Linked DNA regions of Styela clava. The protein of the gene in region 1 interacts with the protein of each later gene in a pairwise test. Links are inferred from orthologs where the notes say so. Each region holds a gene or a part of one and is shown in the gene's direction. Other genes may lie near its edges.

The links.
Region 2: the proteins of histone-lysine N-methyltransferase SUV39H2-like (region 1) and uncharacterized protein LOC120327991 interact in binary tests that used the Drosophila melanogaster proteins (3 or more experiments, as listed by UniProt). The link is inferred for Styela clava from reciprocal best matches to the Drosophila melanogaster genes Su(var)3-9 and His1:CG31617.

What each region holds. Positions count from the first base shown.
Region 1 is NC_135258.1:20,715,312-20,722,425, reverse strand, and holds the start of histone-lysine N-methyltransferase SUV39H2-like, read left to right. Parts: upstream 1-4,089; 5' UTR 4,090-4,196; intron 4,197-4,853; 5' UTR 4,854-4,889; coding exon 4,890-5,348; intron 5,349-5,688; coding exon 5,689-5,853; intron 5,854-6,432; coding exon 6,433-6,636; intron 6,637-7,114. UniProt on the Drosophila melanogaster protein: Histone methyltransferase that specifically trimethylates 'Lys-9' of histone H3 using monomethylated H3 'Lys-9' as substrate.
Region 2 is NC_135256.1:12,943,406-12,949,744, forward strand, and holds uncharacterized protein LOC120327991, read left to right. Parts: upstream 1-4,745; 5' UTR 4,746-4,825; coding exon 4,826-5,398; 3' UTR 5,399-5,817; downstream 5,818-6,339. Other genes in the region: galactose-3-O-sulfotransferase 3-like, read right to left, coding at 442-555. UniProt on the Drosophila melanogaster protein: Histones H1 are necessary for the condensation of nucleosome chains into higher-order structures.

The sequences.
Region 1 (7,114 bases):
TGTGGATCTATACAAGATCATTTTAAATTAGTCTGGTTCTTTGTGAGTTTGCCAATGCACATTTTGCCTCGTTTGTCATTAATAATATTGCAAAAAAATATAGGTGCCTTAGTATTACTACTTTATTATAAAATGTTTTGTATTCCTTGACCAATTTTTACTACCGTCCTATCATCTTGTACATACTTTTTTATATAAATGATAATGCTTCATTCAATTTCTGGCCATGTCCAAAAGTTTCTGTTCCTATTGAATATCATTATTAGCACCATTGGCTAAGTTTTGAAATCATGTAATTTGCCTTATATTGATTTTTTAATCTAACTTTTGTACAGAAGTGCTGCTCCATTTTGTTGCTTGCTCTATGTTAATTGTATGTTACTCATTCAGACTTAAGTCCAAACACTTGAATCATGCAAAATAGCACAGATAGCAGCGGTTACCATGACCAACAGATAACTGCTCAAATGCTAGCATCAATCAACTCACTGAGTAATCTAACAGTAGTAAGATATTTTCAAAAGATTGTACTGATCTATAGCTCCGCAATTTATTAGCTAATTGGCTTCAATTAATCTATGAAAGATGCACAGTATATATTCATGTTGGTGTAATCATTGTTCTTAGCTTATGCCTGAATTTTCATGACCAATAAATAAATGTGAGCAAGTAATGCTGGTATCAATTACATGTATACTCAAAATACGCCAGGGGCATTAAAAACTACAGACATGTTTGTTGGGGGCTCGTTCATCACACACATAAAATATTAGTCAAGTAAACTCTTTCATGAAGTTCAAAATGCAGCAGCTTTAGGCACTTGCTGATCAAAATCATAAGTACCAACACAAATTAAACGAACATATTGCTGCGATATGGTAGTTTATCAAGTTAATGGTGTAGTGGAAAGTCAACGAAGTTTTTCTCTCCGTAGAGTCTCGAAACAGAACAACAGAAACTCTGTTGTGATTTCGTTTTTGCTTCTATTTTTCTCGGAACTTCTCAAATATTTAATGTCTTATGCCCCTCGAACTCGATGGTTTTCCAGTATAAATGCACTGTCATTTATTTATACACGATGTCGGTGCAGTTCAACTCGGTGAAAATTTTACCTAGGTTCAGGAAAAACAATAGCAATACGTAGCCGTACGCGTACATGATTTGAATAAAAATATATCTGTCAATAGCATATGTACTAAAAATGATTACGTCTTCATGGACGTTTGTTGCGGGGACAACATCATAATTTTAAGCTGCAGACAGTGTTCCCTCTAAAGTGTGCGCGTGTGCGCGCGCACACAGCTTTCAGAGGTCGCGCACACGCATAGATTTACTGCGCACAGACATATTTCGATGTAATGTAACAATGTTCTCGGTTGGTAGGTTGAGAAAGTTTGTTGTTGGCCCACTTATTACCCGGTTAGAACGCCAAAATTTCTTCATTGATTTTTGCACAAATATAAGTCATTTCCAAAAGAGTGCGCACACACCAAAATTTCTGCGCACACATACTACAAAAAATTAGAGGGAACATTGGCTGCAGAGCAAATTTTCCCCCAGTAGGGCAATAAATTTGCTAATAATAGACAATAACACCACTCCGCTTTACACCCGAAATGGGCTATAAATTATCCCAGTATTGAAAAGAGCTCGATTTTGCAGCTATGTAACAAAATGAACCAATTTCTACTCTGATACTTGTCCACACAGCGTGCATAAATACGCTTTTGCAAATTTTTTGGTTGATGGAAAATGTACATTGCGATAGAAACGCTCGCGATATCCACGACTTTATATTGCTGGGTCGAGAGATCAATTGAATCGGTGCGATAAGATGCCGAAATTGATAACGATTGTCGTACTGGCCTTTTTCAGATAACATAACGGATATTTTTCTAAACGAGATTCAAATGTGCATAGGGCGAATTGATTCTTTGATAGATGATATTCCCGCCTCATTACAGACAATACAAATTCGATAAGAGAAAAATAGCATGTTGCGGAGACATGCACCTTTGATGTGTTTGCTGTACTCTTCTACCCTTGCTTGGAGTACCTTGTAATTATTTTTAGATGCTGATCAGCGACGCATGAGATTAGCTGAATGTCGATCCATATATACGCGTTTAAGCAAGTTGAACTAGGCTCGTGTGAAACTATTGCATAGACGCGGATAGATTTGAGTTGTTTTATATTTTTTATCATTCATCAAATTTTTCCCAGCTCCCATTAATTAATATTTATTCGGAAGTTTGAGAGTGCATAGAATCATTTATCACATTCCCAAGATTTGTTTTTTTAACTTAGGCTACACTTCGCTTTCACGCATTGTACAAAACTTCAAAAGTTCTATGCATTTCCATCATCTCCCCATTTTGACCAAACTTTGGTTATCCATTTCCGCGTCTTTTTAGAAAGATAACGTCATAGACTAGCAGCCGAAGGTTTTTTTGGGGGTATCACCCTGCATATCGTGTATCGCCGTAAAGATCTTGTCTCATTAGTCATAAATCATTGACATTGCAATAAATTAATCGCACGAGATTTCATAATGACTAACACCGATTAGACTGCATAAGCTATTGATGATGTTTATGTCTTAGGCTTCCAATACATTCGTTAACCTTGGAATTCACACTGTGAGGATTTAAAACAAATGTCCGACTTTCTGCACTGAACGCAAATTGGTCTGTTCTTCAAGGTGATGTGGTATTATATGACAACATAAACAGCAGGAAATTTCTCTGTCAACTTACGTGTTTCATGTAACACAAGTCTATTCTTTCCAGCGCATTTGAATTCCAGCGAAAAAAGTTTACGACGACTCCTTAATGCTGTTTGAATTATACTTATGCGTCATCGATTGTACGATTTCTTGGCGAAATAAAGAAGGTGCAATTTTTTCCTAAAATGTTACTGCTAAATATCACCTGTTTGTCAACAATAATACCATTTGAGGTAATTACATAATTACTAAAGCGAAGTAAAACAGAAGATTCGGTCATATTTTTTATTTTCATAAGTAATGAGTTAGTTTTTGTTTGCATGTAGTGTATGTTCATTTTGGTGAAAAACTACTGACTGACTATCGTACAAACTTTACTCTTCAAAGTTCAAACATGGCCAACTTCCGATCTACATCTGAAAATTTGCACCTACTCGTTTTTAAACTTGCCAAGACCGAAGTATTCATTTAAACATATTTATTGTAATCAACGATGCAAGTCGGATTATTTTTATAAACACCAAAGTCGATGGAAAATCTCCAAAAATGACATCATTTACGGTTTGCAGAGTCGCCTGTAGGCTAAGGCTAACTAATCTCATACCCATCATGGACCAAAACCCTGACGAGCGGCCATGTTTCGCCATAGGAATAGGTTGTTTTATCGACTTTTCTTTCTCCCGGGATAAATATGTATACCATATCCGATCCCAAATCCTCCTACCCCAACGACTAAATCCTGAATTTGCTCCCACTGTTAATTTTGTACGCCGCAAGAGGTCGCGTGCAGGATATTTGTCAAGCGACAAGCCCTTACGAAGGCGCGAAAACGCGAATTGGCGGGTTGTTGTCGGGGTGTCTGCGTTTGTTTTTTCGGCTTCGAATACGGGATGTTGGTGTTTATTTAAAACCTTTTCATATTATGACCCTGTATAGGCTACCAGACATGCGACAACCCATATATATTTCTGTATTTTTTTGTTATCCAGTTATCTGGATTTTATAAAGCATTGGTCACTATTGTTGTAACTTCGAATGGTGAAATTTAGGTACGGTACCGTAACTCTGCCTTTGGGTTAACTTATTGCAGTATGTCATAACTCTTGTTCCAACAAACGAAAAAAAAAATTTGTGAACGCGCAGATATTAAGGATTGGAATATCTGTCCGCCATATACCGAGACCACAAAAAATGACCTCATATTTCAGTATTTAGACAATGCAGGAACTGAGGAATGCGAGAACGGGAGAATTCGGGTTATGTAAGGGAGAGTGGGATTACAGATTTATTACAACCTGAACCTCGTAATGGTGTTACAAGACACAATAAAATTTTGACTTTAAATTTTACAGTGAAAAATATCAGATAAAGAAAATAGTCCAAGATAGAACTTCATTAAACACTTCTTTCTTTGTTCGCATATCAACCAAATTTCGAGTATGGTATAGGCAGATAGGAACTACTGAACTAGGTAAAACACCGACCCCAGTACGGCACAGTTAAAAAATACCAGGAAATTCTCGATATTTGAATATTAACTATTACTGTATTATAAAGATAAATACAAACCCTTTTACAGTAGAGCACAGTTTTCTGATTCCAAAATGTCCCAATATTTGGTTCAATAAAACAAACACTTTATTTGTTTGAATTGCATTTTTTTGCTGAAAGCTCTTGAATGCGTTAAAATATTTTTTTTTTTCGTGTAACAGATTCTTTTTTCCACGGAACTCAACTGTGACGTTTTAAAATAGCTCTTTCTTTTAGTTTATTTTGCAGTGCCGATCAATGTAGAGGCCCAGACTGTCTCGTAAAGGAGGGTTTGCACTAACTGTTATAACTGATATCTTTTTATTTGGGGACTGGAATCAAAGAGCTGTGCTGTGCTGCTTTCAGTACTGCAGTAGGAGACAGTCTGACTGTGCTGCCCCCATGCCCCTCCAAGTTCTTTCCTTTGCATTTTACATTTTTTTGCTAAAAGTTTTTTGTCAGCATATCAAACACCCTCGTTTCCCTTTCAAATAGAATGGTTTTTTATATATTAAATATCGGGACATCATCTCATTATCTGTTTCACTTCTTTATATTTTGCCACATTTTTAAATGTTCCTAATGTTATTTTTTGTAGTGAATTTTTCAACATTTTGATGCCGTTGTCTTTTTCATGATGACAAATTCCAACAAAGAAGAAGAAGAGCATTCAATTGCTTCTGAGGCATCGGAAGTTGTGAAGACTGACAAGATGCCTCTAAAGAAAATCAAGCCAAACAGTGAAATGGACTTGTTCCCTGTTGTTCCTGTTCTTTTTGTTCAAGAATCATTGATATTAGAAGCGGCTAAAAAAGGACTAACTGTTTCATCAAAATACGCAGTACCAAGCAAATACAAAAAGAGAATGGCCTCTACTTATGCAAATTGTGCTTGGTTTTATTCTGGTAAAGCAGTAAAAAAAGTTGAAAACAATAAAGACAAAAATCCTAAAAGAGTTTACAAAGTTGCAAAACGAAGACTACCTCCATCCAGAAAATTATTACTGACTGCTCATCAAACTAGCGCATTAAAAATGAGAAAACCAAACAATATGTATGAAGTGGAATATATTGCAGACATTCGAATAGTGAAAGTATGTTTTTAAACATTACGAAACTGAAAAAAATTTATTTTCAGAAAACATTCTTTTATTTGCGATATTTGTTAGTTTTCATTCAAATACTATTGAATATTGCTTCAAACTATGATTCAATATCAACTTAAAGAGCACATATTTCTTTATAATATTTTCAAACAAGATTTTTCAAAATTTCAGTATTTGCCCTCTTCTCTCAAACCTTTGTATTGCTATTAGATCTTTTGCTTACAATATTCTCGCAAATACACAATTGGCAAGAGTCATCAGAGTGACATATGGTGAGGACATCAACAAGTATTGTATATATTTTCTATATTCAATGTTTTGTTTTTAGAATCAGAGATATTATTTAGTGAAGTGGGTTGGATGGCCAGAAGAAGCAAATACTTGGGAATCATCTGTCAATCTAAGTTGTCATTGTCTAATCAAAGAATTTCATGAAGATTATGATTCACAACTGAATAGTTTTTTTACGAAGGAAAACCTTTCATGGCATAAAGTGAGAGAACAGGCATATTTGTTTTACTGATGATAGTCTTGACTTCATTGAATAACAATGTTGATTCGACCAAACAATTTTAGCTTGTTTTTTTGATTCAACAATTACATTCTTGTAAAACTGAGTAGTCATTCAGTCTCTAATCTTGTTTCGTGTTTGAATGAAAGCTTCAGAAATATGATACAAGTTTGTATTGCATTTTGTTCCACAGTACCTATTCTAAGCCATATGTTTTATAATGAAGAAATGCTTCCATTTAATGAATTTTGGAAACAGCTATGGTAATCTTTCACTAGTAATAGTGGATCTTGCCCACTTAATGACTGGAAGCTCAAATTAATATTTTTGTAACTCTGCTCGACTTTGATGAACAGTCTTTGAATACTTCATCCTTCAATAGGCGACAATCTTACTAGCAATTTATACTAAGAAGGTATTTGAAGAATGTGTCAGACTCAAACCGTTGTATATATTTTAATTTCTAGTGTCAATTGTCGATAATGCCAATTTCTCAAACTTTTTCTTATTGATTGATGTTATAAGCGATTCATTTCTGTATTCTTTCTATCACTGTTTCAGTTACTGCTGGGAAGGAATGGAATCCACCAAAACACATGTACACAACGACTCTTCAATGCAATTCCAAAATCATTTAAATATCTATCAACATATGGTAGGAAAAAATCAGAACTTCGAAACCAATTAAAGGCTTGGCAAGATGTTGTCAATGAATCTTCACAGGGCCTTCCATATGTGGTTGTGGAAAATGAAGTCAATATGGAGGTTTGATTGATTTCTTACTCAAATATAGTCAAAAGATAATGGGAGCATCTATGATCAGTGATAAGGGGTGAGAAACTTTCTCACATTCATAAATTGGTTTCAGATCTGACACGATTGCTATCAAAACAAATAAACTCCCTTTCATAAGCAAACGGGATGATGGGATGATTAAAGATTACGCCTGACAAAAATGTCTTCAAATATTAAAAAACAAGTTGAAAATCACTGAGCCATCTCATTGAAAAAAAATCATGGGCTATGATTAGTCTACTTGTTTAATTGATTTATAATTAATTTTACTACATAGCCTGTTAGGGGACGATGATGGAGTATAGGGTGCTGTAAGGCATAGGTTCTCAAAGTGCTCCGCACGGAGCCCCAGGGCTCCGCGAGAGAAACCTAGGGGCTCCGCGAGCTATTCGATCACTTTTCAAAATACTGACTTGGCTAATTTTGTAACTGTTCAAAGGAGCAATAA
Region 2 (6,339 bases), on another chromosome or scaffold:
AACGATAGACGCACTAATGCTTGTTTGTTACCCCAATAAGGTGTTGTTTGTCAACCCAAACTCTCAATGATAGCTATAGTAAGAGACATTATACCCAAAATAAATATATCTTCGAGCTGAAAACATGTTAATTTCTTATAATTAATGTTATTGACAAAAAAGCATTGAATTGAAAAATCTTCGAGTAATTTTTCGGTTACCGATTCGTTTAAGTCTTGCAACATCGTTATATTTATATTACCATGGCTTCTTTTCAAACCAATCGAATGAAATTCGCAAACTATCGTGGTGAAACCTTGATGAGCCTCATTCCCTGATGTCCAAGTTCACGGAAAAAGTCATTTTTTGTTTAGTAAATTCATAAAATTGATATAAATAGTACACCTGAGTAGTCGTAATTAATACGTTTCGACAAAAAAAAAATTAATACGAATAGCACACCTGAGTAGTCTTTATTGTTTCTATAGACCTAAATATGCTTTCCCGAATAGAAATAAAACTTAGAAAAATAATACCAGAGCAAATTACCACTAGAAAGATAACACTCTTTGACATAACGATTAACTAAATAACACACGTTTAACGACAAATTATCGAATCTGCCACATTAAAATATATTTAATAGGCCAGGTATTGAATTCGTTGTTACACCTTAATGTTGTTAACACGCCTGTATTTCCGGAGATCGAAACAAAATGGTCGATATAAATTTATATTATTGGTATATTTTTATATATAAATATCAATTTATGGATCCTCAAATAAGTAATATAACTATCGGAAGTGATTGCTTGCAATTCTAAAATAATTCGTAATATATGTACATCGTAATAAATCAATGCGTAGAAAATTCCCTTTAAATATTTTTTGATGAAAAAAATATCACCCCCATCTAGTTCACATATGTTTGATAATTATAGAGTCGTATTAACCAAAAAAATCTTCGGAACGAGAGTTTGAGATTACGGTCATATGGTAGTATGCCTTGAAACCGGGTTTTGCGGTCCTAGATATGTTGAAGATAACATGTTTTTTTCTGAAGGCTGAAAGTTAGGCTTGAGTCTACCCAAATTATTATATCCTTGATTGATGGCAGCAGTGAATTTAAACCTGAGATTCCAACCTGCAACGCTTCCATTTCATCGTGATGATTGTTGTTAATGGACACGTCAGTGTACGTAACGATCGTTTCAATATTATGTTGCTGCACTTGTTTTTCTTCTCCTTCGTCATGATAAAATCGCTTTTCTCTTTTCTTCGAATACTGGACCAATTGCTTTTTCAGTGGTTAAAGATTGAGCCAGAAGGCTATTACTTATTTCAAAAATTTCTGTGGACTTCAGGAGATTCGTCTTTTATGTGTCGAGATAAAAAAAACTTGTGACGTGTTCATATAATTGAGCATAGCTCTCTTGTTAATTAATGTTTATAACTATTTTATATTTTCTAGCTCAGTGGTTCTCAACCTGTGGTACGCGCACCACTAGTACGCGAAGCTTTTCAAGTGCTACGCGAGCAGATATGAATTATTGCAACAATTAACCTTTCAGTTGGCTAACGCTTTATCTTCCTTACTGTATGTATTGGCTGAACAGCGTTTATGGATGTTTCACCAAGCATCAGTTTCCTTGTTTATTTCCGTAAACATGCAATCAGCAATAAGTCAATAATGACGCAACAGATAACAATTGCAATTTCTGCACCCAGCCGCTAAGACACTTCTGTCGCTCAAACAGATATTCAAGCATAGTTGCAAACATTGCCTCGTTGTTGTAGCTTTGAGTGATATTCGTCAGTTTTCAGTTGTGTTTCAAGAAAATAATTGTGAATTGATAAACTTAATTGTCATTAAGTCTTCCGCGGAGCTTTACTTTAATTGCAGCAGCAATCAAAAATGAATCTCGCAAGTGCTCCGATGGACAAGGCTAAACTTAGCTATATCAGTACCTGCAAACGACACATGGTTGATTAATTTTTATTAAAAATGATGGTTTCAAACATGTAAACCGGTTTATATGCGCCAACACATCAAAACACTCTCAGAATAAGCATAAATTTTGCAATAGTAAAGTATAGGGATAATTCTTTCGGGGAAACACACATAGCCCTGGTGCGCTGCCAGTTCTTGTCTTTAGACTTTAGAGATCGCCCTCGCCCGCCATTACCCACCTTAAACAAAGCGATGTGGGTATTTTTTGTCCGTTTTGCGTCTACGTCACAAAGGATGTAGTGCCACATTATAAAATACTCCCATAGCTCTAGCTCAATGAACCTTTTCCTATAATCGTCTTGAAAAGTGTATACTGACTGCAAAATTTTAAATGTACGGCAGTTACGTTTTTCAACAAAATTTTGCAAATTCAAACATCGTAGCGAACTAAATCACATATATGATGCTTCTTTGAAGTTTAAAAATTTATAAATTTGACGCCGCCGATAAACGCGTTTATGTACCGATGGAGAAAATATTAATGCATTGGATCATGATCGATCTAGTGACCTTTCACACTTTTTTTTATTCGAAAAAATACTTGATGTCAGAATTTTTATCCAATTTGTAATAATGAACGCGCCTTCTCAACGTCTATTCGTCTAGGTCACGGGATGGCGCTTTTTTGCAAAGCGTAGACGATTTCAAATGGGGAATGACGCACGAAAAAATTAACATAAGTTATTAGGCGTTAACTACCAGTTTCGACTACCTATCAATCAGAGCTCAACCGAATAGGATTTTTCGTCATTATTATTATTCATACATTTATACTACTACTGTAAAATTTATTCATGTAAAAACCAATTAGAAATGATAAATTGAGAAATTATGTATTCTTACATTTTTAATTAAATACGAATTCCGCAATAGTAACAAAATCAAAAACTAAAAAACGAACGAAAATATAAATATTTGTCGCAATATTTGCCCTCGCACCACACCCCTTACTATATACATATATCTACAACAGCTATCAAAAAAAATCCTATATTTGACCAATAAGCAAACCAATTTGAATTATAATCGCGTACACTGCAGGAGTTTGGTTGTTATAATCTTGAAAATATTGACATCAGACTTGTGAATTGTATATCTCAAAATTGAGCGCCATTTTATTATTTATTTCTATTTAATAAATTGCTATTCGCTTTGGGGTTCGAACATTTGCAATTCTCGTCAATTTTATTACAACTACAGTTAAGTATCAGGATTCGATCCATCTATAGTATCCATTTAATAACTACATCACATGTGAGAAAAGTAATATGGCTGTGTAAATCCGATTCATATATCCACTTTGAAATTAGTATTGATTTTTACAAAATATCATTGATTAGGAGATTGACAGAGAGCATTCCTAACACAGCAGCACCAGGGTAGACATATACTACAATAATAGTGTCAATAATAACAAAGACATTTGTTAAATTTGTAAGGTTAGCTTTTATTTGGAGTAAAATCAAGTACACGGTTGAACAACTCCAAGAAAACTGATATCCCACGGTATCTACACCCCATACCTGGAGAATATATAATTATTTAAAAGACAGGAGGATAATCAAGTGAAATTGAGATCTAACTTTCTTGACTTTGCTAAAAATGTGGCCTATTAGTATCTTACCTATTGTAATATTATCTTGGTTTGACGATTATCTAACTTTGCTTGCCTATTACAACTCACTTTTGTCACAGCGAAGCATTTCCAATAAATCTTTTTCATATATTCTGTTTGTTGCTTCATGGAAAAATTTGATATAATTTAAAAATAGAATTCTTCAAGTTGAAATTATCACAGATGAAATTTTGGGGGTGATTCACGAGAATCTCACCTAAAACTTCACACACATTTACTTTTACTTAAATTCTTTTATCTCCCACCCACCTCGTCTATCTGGAAAGAAGCTAACTAAATGCAAAACATATCAAATTCGAAAATTTCCCTGAAATCGGTTTTAATATAGGCCGAACAAATCATTTTCATTAATTTCAAATGGAAGTATAAGATTTTATACGTAAAAAATTATCGGTTCAAATAAGAACAACTAACACTTTTCAATCACGTTTGTGAAGTCATTTTCGCCATTTGCTTCAAGTAACTAAGAGTTAACAATACAATGGATATCGCGTTAAAGTATGTTCTTTGTTTAATTTCTGAAAATAATAGGAATGAGATATTCATTTTATTCTGAAAAATACCTTTTTTTAAATATTTATCAAGGGATAAAATATATAATCATATTCGAAGCAACAAGCAACATATTAGGTTTTTGAAAAGATTGTGTTTGAATGTTGACTTTTCAAATCAATTTTAAGCACTAACGAAACCAAATTTTTTTTTTTAAAGAAAATTTTGCAGTACCAAACGATACTATTTTTAGTATGTAAAAGCATTTTTTATGAAACAAAGATGAAAATGAAATTTTTAGAAGCATTTATTAGAATATTGAAGTTTTATATTCTTTTATTCAGACATGTTCATTTTACCAAGCCATTTAACGCCGTTCTACTAAACTTAGAATTACGAAAAACGAAGAGTGGGTTCAATGGACTCTCTGGTATTGTTTTGTCCTCGAATGAAGTTTAGATATATTATACATTTTAAAAAATATTGGTATTTCTACAACCGACAAACACAAAATTATCACGAAAGAAATTCTCTCGCGCCAAATTCTCGCAATATTTACCGTTCCGTTGACGTCCGCGCACTCGATGTGACGTCATATATTATATAGAAAAGGTTGTCGCAAAGGCAATGCGCATTCGAGAGAGAATATTGTGCGATAAGTACGCGTTTGGTTGCTGAAAATTTAATTTTAAACTAAAAACTTGAAAATGTCTGCTCAAAAAACCAAGAAGGCGAGCAAATCGCAGGATCACCCTACTTACCAGGTTATGGTAATCAAAGCTGTAAAACATGAAGGTTCTTCAAAAGGAGGGACTTCTCTCGCGAAATGTTGGAAATATGCTGCCGCAGAGTACAACCTTCCTAAGGACAAAAGAATTATATTTCGTAAGAATGTAGCCCGTCTTATCAAAGCTGGATATCTGGCTAATACAAAAGGCAACGGTGCTGCTGGATCGTTCAAACTGAGTAACGCGCAAAAAGACAAGGATAAGCAACTGGAGAGAACTCAGAAAGAAAAACAGAAAGCGATTAAAGCTAAAGCCGCTTTAAAAACCAAGAAAACAACAACCACAAAAACAAAAGTGAAAAAACCTGCCGCCAAGAAAGCCGCAACACAGAAAAAAACTGCAAAAAAGACCACGAAAAAAACGCCAAAGAAAACGACAAAAAAGCCCGCAGCAAAGAAGGTCGCTAAAAAATCCACCAAGTCCCCACAAAAGAAAGCGAAAGCAAAGAAAGCTACTCCTAAAAAGACCGGACAGAAGAAATCCAAGAAATAAATCAATATACATAAAACTTGAACTTTACAATAGCGTTACATGCTTATAAGAGTTGAAGCCAATGGAAAAGCACCGGGCGCACTGCTTACTTTTTATATTGTAATCCTGTTTTGGGGGATGAATATTCTGTCATGTTCATTTTGGAGCATGGTAAACAATCAATTTCCATGAGGATCAAAGTGAATCTTGACCTCATTGAGCTTTTTTTGTATAGTAGTTCCACAGAGTGTACTCCATATTCAGATTTTTTGACAGAACTCTATTTTTTCAGCTTGACTCACCGTTTATAAAACAAAATAAACGCACTTTTAGTAAGGGCCTTTTTGTTTTCTCTTTGATCATGCTTGAAAATGTAGTTTTTTGTTATTATCGTCGTTACGTTTTCTTTTTAATGAAATAAATATTATCATTAGTATAAACCCATCTACTTGTTTGTTACCCTATTTAGTGTGAAGGCGCCAATTTTAACAACAGCCGTTCAAAGTGTGGCGCGCGTTTTAAACGTATTCTTGTCGTCGTCACGTGCCGCTTATTTACAAAGCGTTGATGACGCCGTGAATAGAGCAGCGGCGGAAGATATCTTGAAGTACTGTAGTAACTAACAGCGATATGGGTTATCGCGGGTTCACAATCAAAGATTGACAAAATATTTTCATTTCAAATCGTGTTTGAAATTCAGATGATCTACTGTCGCCTGTCAGTTCGCCAGCTCTCGCGGTTGATGAAGATATGTGTAATAAAACATTTTTAGAGAGGTATTAGCGACACTTGTTACGAGCAAAGGTTAGATCAAATGTGCGGACACCGTATCGATACCGATGCAACATAATCAGATTAATAATGCACCTACATGGCAACACAGAATTCAAAATGTCATTTGAGTTTGCATTGTGAGGCAACAGAAATGAATAAGCTGGCACTGATTACAGTACATGTGGGTA